Linked DNA regions of Macaca mulatta. The protein of the gene in region 1 purifies or fractionates together with the protein of each later gene. This does not show direct contact. Links are inferred from orthologs where the notes say so. Each region holds a gene or a part of one and is shown on either strand. Other genes may lie near its edges.

Region 1 (4,187 bases):
TTGAGGTCAGGAGTTCGACACCAGCATGGTCAACATGGTGAAACCCTGTCTCTACTAAAAATACAAAAATTAGCTGGCCGTGGTGGTACACCCCTGTAATCCCAGCTACTCGGGAGGCTGAGGCAAGAGAATCACTTAAACCTGGGAGATGGAAAAATCATTTTCACTAAAAATTATATTTAGCGCCCAGAATGGTGGCTCAAGCCTGTAATCCCGGAACTTCTGGATGCTGATGTGGGAGGGTCGCTTGAGCCTAAGTTCGAGATCAGCCTGGGCAACATGGAGAGATCTCATCTCTACAAATAATTTAAAAATAGCTAGGTGTGGTGGCAAAAGTCTGTTGTTCCAGCTGCTCTGGAGGCTAAAGTGGAATCGTTTGAGCCTAGGCAGTCGAGGCTACAGTGAGCCCTTATCACACCAGTGCACTCCAGCCTGGGTGACAGGGCAAGACCCTGTCTTTAAAAAAAAAAAAAAAAAACTTTAATGTTATAATCCAACAATTCAATACAAACCTCCTTCAATTTTGATGAAAGCTAAGAATTGGAAACCATTTATATAAAGGTGTCACTTGGTCTCTGGCCCTTCTCCCTTTCAAACTCACAGGCACAGATACTTTTGGGGCTGGATTAGCATTTGCGTTGGGATGCACGGCGGGGAAGGTACAGGATGGGAACCGACAAAAACAGAGCCAAGCTGGTCAGGTCGGTGTCTACCCCAGAATTCGGGGACATTTCTAGATCCTGCAGGAAAGCGCGGGAGGACCTGACTCAAGCTGGCCTGGCCCTGAGCGCATCTGCGCCCCTGAAGCCTGGCCCTGAGGCCCGAAGACAGCAGCTTTCGGGTTAAAGGGGCCTTGGGAAGAGAAGGGGCAGGAAGGTGGTACCCGTTGCGCATAGGCCAGGCTGCCAGGCCGCGGGGCTCGGTCCCGCGAAAGTAGTAGGTCTTCCGCTAAAGCAGAATTGTACTTTTACTCGACAGCATGGAAAGGCCGCTCAGAACAGCAGCAGCAGAGGAGAAGTCAGCGCAGGTCACAGACAGTTTCACGCTCAGAGACTTGGCCTAGAACTTGGAGGCCCGCTACTCCAGCACGCTCGCCTCCCGGCCACCCACGCCCCCACCACCCGCACTGCGCCGTTATCTGCCTGACTGACATCTTGGTCAGCCAATGATCTTTGGGGCTGCCAAAGCTCCTGCCTCCGAGAGTTGGGCGGGGCGAGTAGTTGCAATGACAAACATTTAACCCAATAACGAGGAGATGTCACACGCTACGGCCGCAATAACCAATGAGAAGAAAGAATCCTTTCGAAAGGACGTGTCAGGCAACCAACGGCCGGTGGCGCTGCAGGGGTCCCGTGGCTTCCGTTCCGAGAGGGCGGGGCGGCGTCCCGAAACGGAAGGTGGTTGTCGTCGGTGCCCAAGCTGGTTTGAAACTAGGGGTCGGGTTCGGTCGTTGTCGTTGTTTGTCGCCGCATCCCCGCTTCCGGGGTAGGCCGTTCCTGCCCGCCCCCGCCCCTCCTCCCTTCGGACCCATAGATCTCAGGCCCGGCTCCCCGCCCGACTCGCACCCCGCCCGCCGCAGCCCACTGTTGACCCGGCCCGTACTGCGGCCCCGCCGCCACCATGTCCCTGCACGGCAAACGGAAGGAGATCTACAAGTATGAAGCGCCCTGGACGGTCTACGCGATGAACTGGAGTGTGCGGCCCGATAAGCGCTTTCGCTTGGCGCTGGGCAGCTTCGTGGAGGAGTACAACAACAAGGTGGGCCAGGCAGGGCCTCGGAACCCAGCTGGCGGGGAGCGGGCCCCGGGAGCGCCCTTTCCGGGCCGGAGCCCAGGCCCCAGAACCCTCCTGCGGACTCGCCTTAGGGCCATGGAGCGGTTCCAATGTCTGGCCCTGTGCTGAAGGTTTCGTACTCGTTGTCTGTCTCATTTAATCCCGGCAGCATTCTTGTGTAGTCGGCAGTGTAGTGGGGAAACTGAGTCACGGTTTTGTGACTTGCCTGGGTCAGGCAGCTATTTCGTGGTGGAAACAGGTCTTAAAACCGGGTTTACGCCCCAAAGATACTCCATTTATTCCTCCCGTGCTCTCCACTCCTGCCGCATTTTTTTCGTTGGTGGGCGGGGAAGGGAAGAGGGAGTGGTAGTTGTGAAGGAAAATGCAGACGCTTCTATTCGCGGTCGTGCACTCTTGGCCACACTAGATTTCTATTAAGACGATCTGTTGTACAAGCTTCCCCGCCCCCTACTCCCACACCCCGGGTGTGGATCCTAGCCCTTCTGCCAGAATTACTGTTGCTCTTGCTTCCTGATAACCATTCTCTCTAAAGCAATCTCTTTGGAAATCTTGGCCTGTGGCATGATCCCGCGGTTGTTTCCTGAACACAGGATGACAGGGCCTTATCTTTTGGCTTGTTTCATGCTAGTACAGTTGTGTGACCTTTAGTAGTAGATCTTGCTGGACATTCATCAATTTGAGAATCCTTTATAGAAGCACGGTGTCGTAGGGGAGCTTTTAAACTGGCATTGCAACATAAACTCATCTTTGAAAGCTGAATAAGTCAGTTGGAAGCATTTTCTTTGCTTTCTTCCTTTTACTCAATTAAAGTTGAATGATAGCGATCAGAGCAACTGAAAGCTGTGGCTAGTGATATTTAAAGCCACTACTGCCTTATGCCATGAGCATCAGATTTAAGAAGAGTAAAACTGGCTGGGCGCGGTGGTTCACGCCTGTAATCCCAGCACTTTGGGAGGCCGAGGCAGGCAGATTACCTGAGCTCAGGAGTTTGCGACCAGGCTGGGTAACAAGATGAAACGCTGTCTACTAAAATACAAAAAAAAAAAAAAAAAGAAGAAGAAGAAGAAAACTGTTCAGTGACAAGGCTCATGCAGGGGGGAAAAAGCCAGGTGGTCTAGGAGTGGGTCCTGTCTGGTTATTGACTAGCTGTGAGGTGTTGCACAGGCCTGTTTTATTATCTGTGACCCACAGTTTGCTGTAGGGAAGGGGTTCTGGTTTACATGTGAGGGTCTTGTAAAAAAGAAATTTGAATATTTTACAGTTTGTTTACAGTTTTTCAGGAGCACGTTTCTCTAGAGTAGGTCTTCTTTGGAGTCCTCTTTGAGAAGCTGATGAAAGCGATGGATTTTCATTGTCCAGACATTACACATACGTGAACATATTTACAAACAAATCCAAGCAATATGCACTGATCTTTAAGTTCACCCATTTCCCGGGCGAAATAGAGCTGTATTTCCTTTCCTCTGATGCTTCTTTCTTCCTTGTGGCCCATTGTGGACAGCTGAACTGGGAATGGGATTCAAGCTTCTGATGTGGACACCGTGTTAGTAAAATTAAGACCACTAGAACTATTGTTTAAGGATACACGTGGAAAATAAAAAAGTATGTCTTTCAAAGAGCTTAAGCTTAATTTTTCACACAAATTAATGTTTTTTTCCTGTGTGTTTTTCCAGTGTCACGGGGTAAACAATAGTTACTCCTATTCTCCAGAGAGGAGAAACTGAGCCACAGTTAGGCTGCTGGTAGAATCAATGGAGTAGTCAAACTGCTGTTGCAGGAACTCTACCCCAGTTTGTCCTTTCTTTTAGCAACTCTCTGGAGCTTCCTCTTTGTTCCAGGCACACAGGTAGCATGGCTTAGCAGCGAAATGCAAACTAATAACCCCACTATCAACAGCGTAAGCAGTTAGCTATATCTTAACTCACATGATGTAGGCAATGTGCTGTCTTAAAATCATTTTTGTGCCTCCACCTGTCAGTAGGTCAGGGTTCTTAAATTCTGTGTGCTATGATCATCTGATACCAATAGACCCCTTCTCATAGTTATGTTTTCAAATGCATAGAACACGTAGAATTACAAAAGAAACCACTTACGTTGCACTACAGATATAAACATGTTTTTAGAAGTGGTGATGTAGTCATATGTACTTTTAATAAATTAACATATTGATTTACACCATCCAGTGTAATTATTAATGTAATTTTGAAGTGGTGACAAGGGTAAACAGCATTTCAAGATGCTTAACTGCACCGTGGTGGGAAAAAATATTTCTCTTGCTGGTGAAGTCACAGATACTTATGCCACTGTGAGCACCTAACCCATTTGTAATTGAAGGAAATAAAACATATTTAGCTAGAGGTGAATGGAAATATGGGCGTGATTTTCCAATTCAA
Region 2 (3,500 bases), on another chromosome or scaffold:
AGCCTGGGCAACAAAGTGAGAATCTGTCTCTACAAAAAATACAAAAAATTAGCCAGGCATGGCAGCACACGCCTGTAGTCTCAGCTGAGATGAGAGGATGACTTGAGCCTGGGAGGCAGAAGTTGCAGTGAGCCAAGATCACACCACTCCACTCCAGCCTAGGAGACAGCCAGACCTGTCTCAAAAAAAAAAAAAAAAGGAAATTTTTATGTTTTTCAATGAATCATGAAAAAGTGTTAGAAGGCCAGGCGTAGCAGCTCATGCCTGTAATCCCAACACTTTGGGAGGTGGAGGTGGGAGGATCACTTGAGCCCAGGAGTTCCAAGACCAGCCTAGGCAACATGGCAAAACACTGTCTCTACAAAAACAAAAAAAAATTAGCCAGGCATGGTGGCTCATGCCTGACAGTCCCAACTACTTGGGAGGCTGAGATGGGAGGATTGATTGAACCCTAGAGTTGAAAGCTGCAGTGAGCTGTGATTGTGCCTCTACACTCCAACCTGGAAAATAGAGGAGAGACCCTGTCTCCAAAAAATTAAATTAATTAATTAAAGTGATTGGAAAGAATTTTTTAGGCTTGGTATTCAGTCCATTTTCTTCTTCTTGAGCATAGCAGGTTTATCCAGCCATGGTAAGGTCAGTCTTTCCCGGCAAGGCCGAGGAGCAGATGGGCATGGGAATCACGAATTTAAGGACAGAGGTCTGTCCTAAACCAAACCTGAGCTCTTGGGGCCAGGGACTAAGCCACACACACCCCTACAACCTGGGCTTTCTCTGGGGAGTCTGCTCTCTTACCCAGACCCTTGTTGTACCTTTATTGAGGACTGTGAGGGGCTTCCGGTTGCTGGGGTCCAGGCTGCTGGGAGCAATTGAAAACCTCGGTGGAATGGTCAGGCAGGTGATGGGGAGACGGGCAGGGATATAGCCAGAAGTAAAGAACTCGTCGTTAAGCAGCTCATTAATGGTTGGGCGGGCAGTGGGATCTGTCTGAAGCATCTTCTGGATGAGGGAGGCGGCCACGGGGTTGATGTGCTAGGGCAGAGAGAGGGACAGCCATAAGCAGAATGTGAAGGGGACCCGGAGTACAGTACGGCCTCAAAGGGGCTGCAGGCCAATAGACCACACGCAGTCCCCAGTCTCAAATACACCCCAGGTTAGTGGTTCACAACTTGGTTCAATGCCAACTTCTCCACTGTCGGCTTTACTGAGCACCTTTGACAGAAGGGTCAATGGACTGTGGCCTAGCACCAACTCACTTTCCTGGCACTTACTATGTGCCAGGAAAGCATTCTAAGCACTCCTGTACTTAGCTCACTTAGCCCTCACTAATACATCTAAGGGGTGGGGCTCTATTATCATCCCTTTTTTGCAGAGGAGGAAAGTGAGGCACAGAGAGGGTGAAGGCCTTGTCTAGTTGGCTTGATTCCATGCTGTCTCTGACAGTGAACTGACACTTTGTGATGGATTTACTATGTCCGTCCTTATGGTGACAGGCCTCTTGGCTTCACACAAGGACACTACACTTCAAACTGGCTGTGTGCTAGGCTTCTGCAGGAACCAGCTATTCCTTTAAATGCATTTCTGTTGGTGGTTGTGAAAATACACACCATGGCCAGGTGTGGTGGCTCACGCCTGTAATCCTAGCACTTAGGGAGGCTGAGGCGGGCAGATCACAGGGTCAGGAGATTGAGACCATCTTGGCTAACACAGTGAAACTCTCTTTCTACTAAAAATACAAAAAAAGTAGCCGGGTGTGGTGGCGGGCACCTGTAGTCCCAGCTACTCAGGAGGCTGAGGCGGGAGAATGGTGTGAACCCAGGAGGGGGAACTTGCAGTGAGCCGAGATCGCATCACTGCATTCCAGCTTGGGCGATACAGTGAGACTCTGTCTCAAAAAAAAAAAAAAAAAAAAAGGAAATTGCACACCACTATGCCATTAGGAAGCCCTGGGATTCAGTGATTCATAATTCTGTGAGCACTTACTACATGTAAGGCACTCTGTGAGGTGCTCCAAGGCAGGAACTCCACTTTATAGACGAGAACTATGGTTCAGAAGATGCAGGCCAGGCTGGGCATGGTGGCTCATGCCTGTAATCCCAGCACTCTGGGAGGCTGAGGCGGGTGGATCACCTGAGGTCAGGAGTTCGAGACCATCCTGGCCAACGTGGTGAAACCCCATCTCTACTAAAAATACAAAAAAAAAAAAAAAAAAAAAAAAAAAAGCCAGGCAAGGTGGTGGGTACCTGTAATCCCAGTTACTTGGGAGGTTGAGGCAGGAGAATCGCTTGAACCTGGGAGGTGGAGGTTGCAGTGAGTCGAGAGTCGAGATCATGCCACTGCACTGGGGAACAAGAGTAAAACTCCACCTCAAAAAAAAAAAAAAGAAAAAAAAGAAAAAAAGAAGATGCAGGCCATTTGCCCAATGTGATCTGGCTAAGTGGCAGACTCAATTTGAATTAAGATAATCCATTTCCAAAGCTTAAGCACTTTAGCCTCCTACTCCTTCCTACCTCCTTTGTTTTTTGCTTTTTACGCAACTTTTGGGCTACCCAATCTCTTGAGAATCTGCCAACTCTCTCCCCCTAGAAAAAATGCTTATGTGCACATACATGTCAAGTTCTGTATGTAATTTCAGACACAGGCCCTCGTAAGCTCTGTGGCTATCCTAGAGGTGGGATAGACCTATTTCTGGTCTTAGGATATTGCTGGGTTCCATAAACAGCTTTTGGGGAAAACAAAATAAATGTAAAGTTAAAGCATCATTAGTCACCTTGGGAATACTGTATTCATTCTTCTTGATCCGGAGGTAGGTCTCTTTTAGGCAAGAAGTCTCAAAAGGTGGTTTGCCCACTAACAAGGTATACCTGTAAGCACAAGGTAGGATTTGGCACCAGCCTCCCAGCCACAACCCAGACATAAGAGAAATCATCTCAGGGTCAGAACAAAGACCAGGCATCCTCTGGACACTCACTGTAACTCTGGGGCCCCTGAAGACAACCAAGTCCACTGAGCAGCCCCAGGAGCCATAATATTGGCTAGAATGAGCCCTTACCAGAATACACGTGGTGAGACTAGGATTCTTAGGGGCCAGTGATTTTTTAGTTGTGGCCTGTGGTCATCTAGGACTCTGCAAGGGCCTCAGAGGCTGCCTGTCATGCAAAACAGGTCAAAGGGCTACCTGCACTTACAGAAGCAGCTCTACCTTTAGCAATTCTGTACTTAAGTCTTCAAGTTTTCATTTGGAAAAACCCCACTGCGAAGATGTATGAAAGTCACTGCTACAACTCATTTCTAACTCTCCAGTACCTAGGCCCCAAACAAGAAAGGTAATACCTGAAAAGGCCCAAGCCTCTGCCTGCCACCAACCGCTGCTGATGGTCTCAATCCAGACAGACCACTGGCACGTCATCCTTCCATCTGTAACTCCTGGCCTAATTTCCCCCACCATGCTAATGTTCATCAATGTTTAAGACCTTATTGTGCACGGGAACTACCAAGGG

Evidence for each region. The genes of interacting proteins can lie anywhere in the genome.
Region 2: the proteins of DCAF7 (region 1) and PLK1 purify together in Homo sapiens (affinity purification with mass spectrometry; 3 studies listed by BioGRID and IntAct, with this or other methods). This does not show direct contact. The link is inferred for Macaca mulatta from reciprocal best matches to the Homo sapiens genes DCAF7 and PLK1.

Annotation. Positions count from the first base shown.
Region 1 is NC_133421.1:73,348,671-73,352,857, forward strand, and holds the start of DCAF7 (DDB1- and CUL4-associated factor 7), read left to right. Parts: upstream 1-1,387; 5' UTR 1,388-1,620; coding exon 1,621-1,758; intron 1,759-4,187. UniProt on the Homo sapiens protein: Involved in craniofacial development. Acts upstream of the EDN1 pathway and is required for formation of the upper jaw equivalent, the palatoquadrate. The activity required for EDN1 pathway function differs between the first and second arches.
Region 2 is NC_133425.1:23,225,285-23,228,784, reverse strand, and holds part of PLK1 (serine/threonine-protein kinase PLK1), read right to left. Parts: intron 2,865-3,500; coding exon 2,771-2,864; intron 1,033-2,770; coding exon 813-1,032; intron 1-812. UniProt on the Homo sapiens protein: Serine/threonine-protein kinase that performs several important functions throughout M phase of the cell cycle, including the regulation of centrosome maturation and spindle assembly, the removal of cohesins from chromosome arms, the inactivation of anaphase-promoting complex/cyclosome (APC/C) inhibitors, and the regulation of mitotic exit and cytokinesis.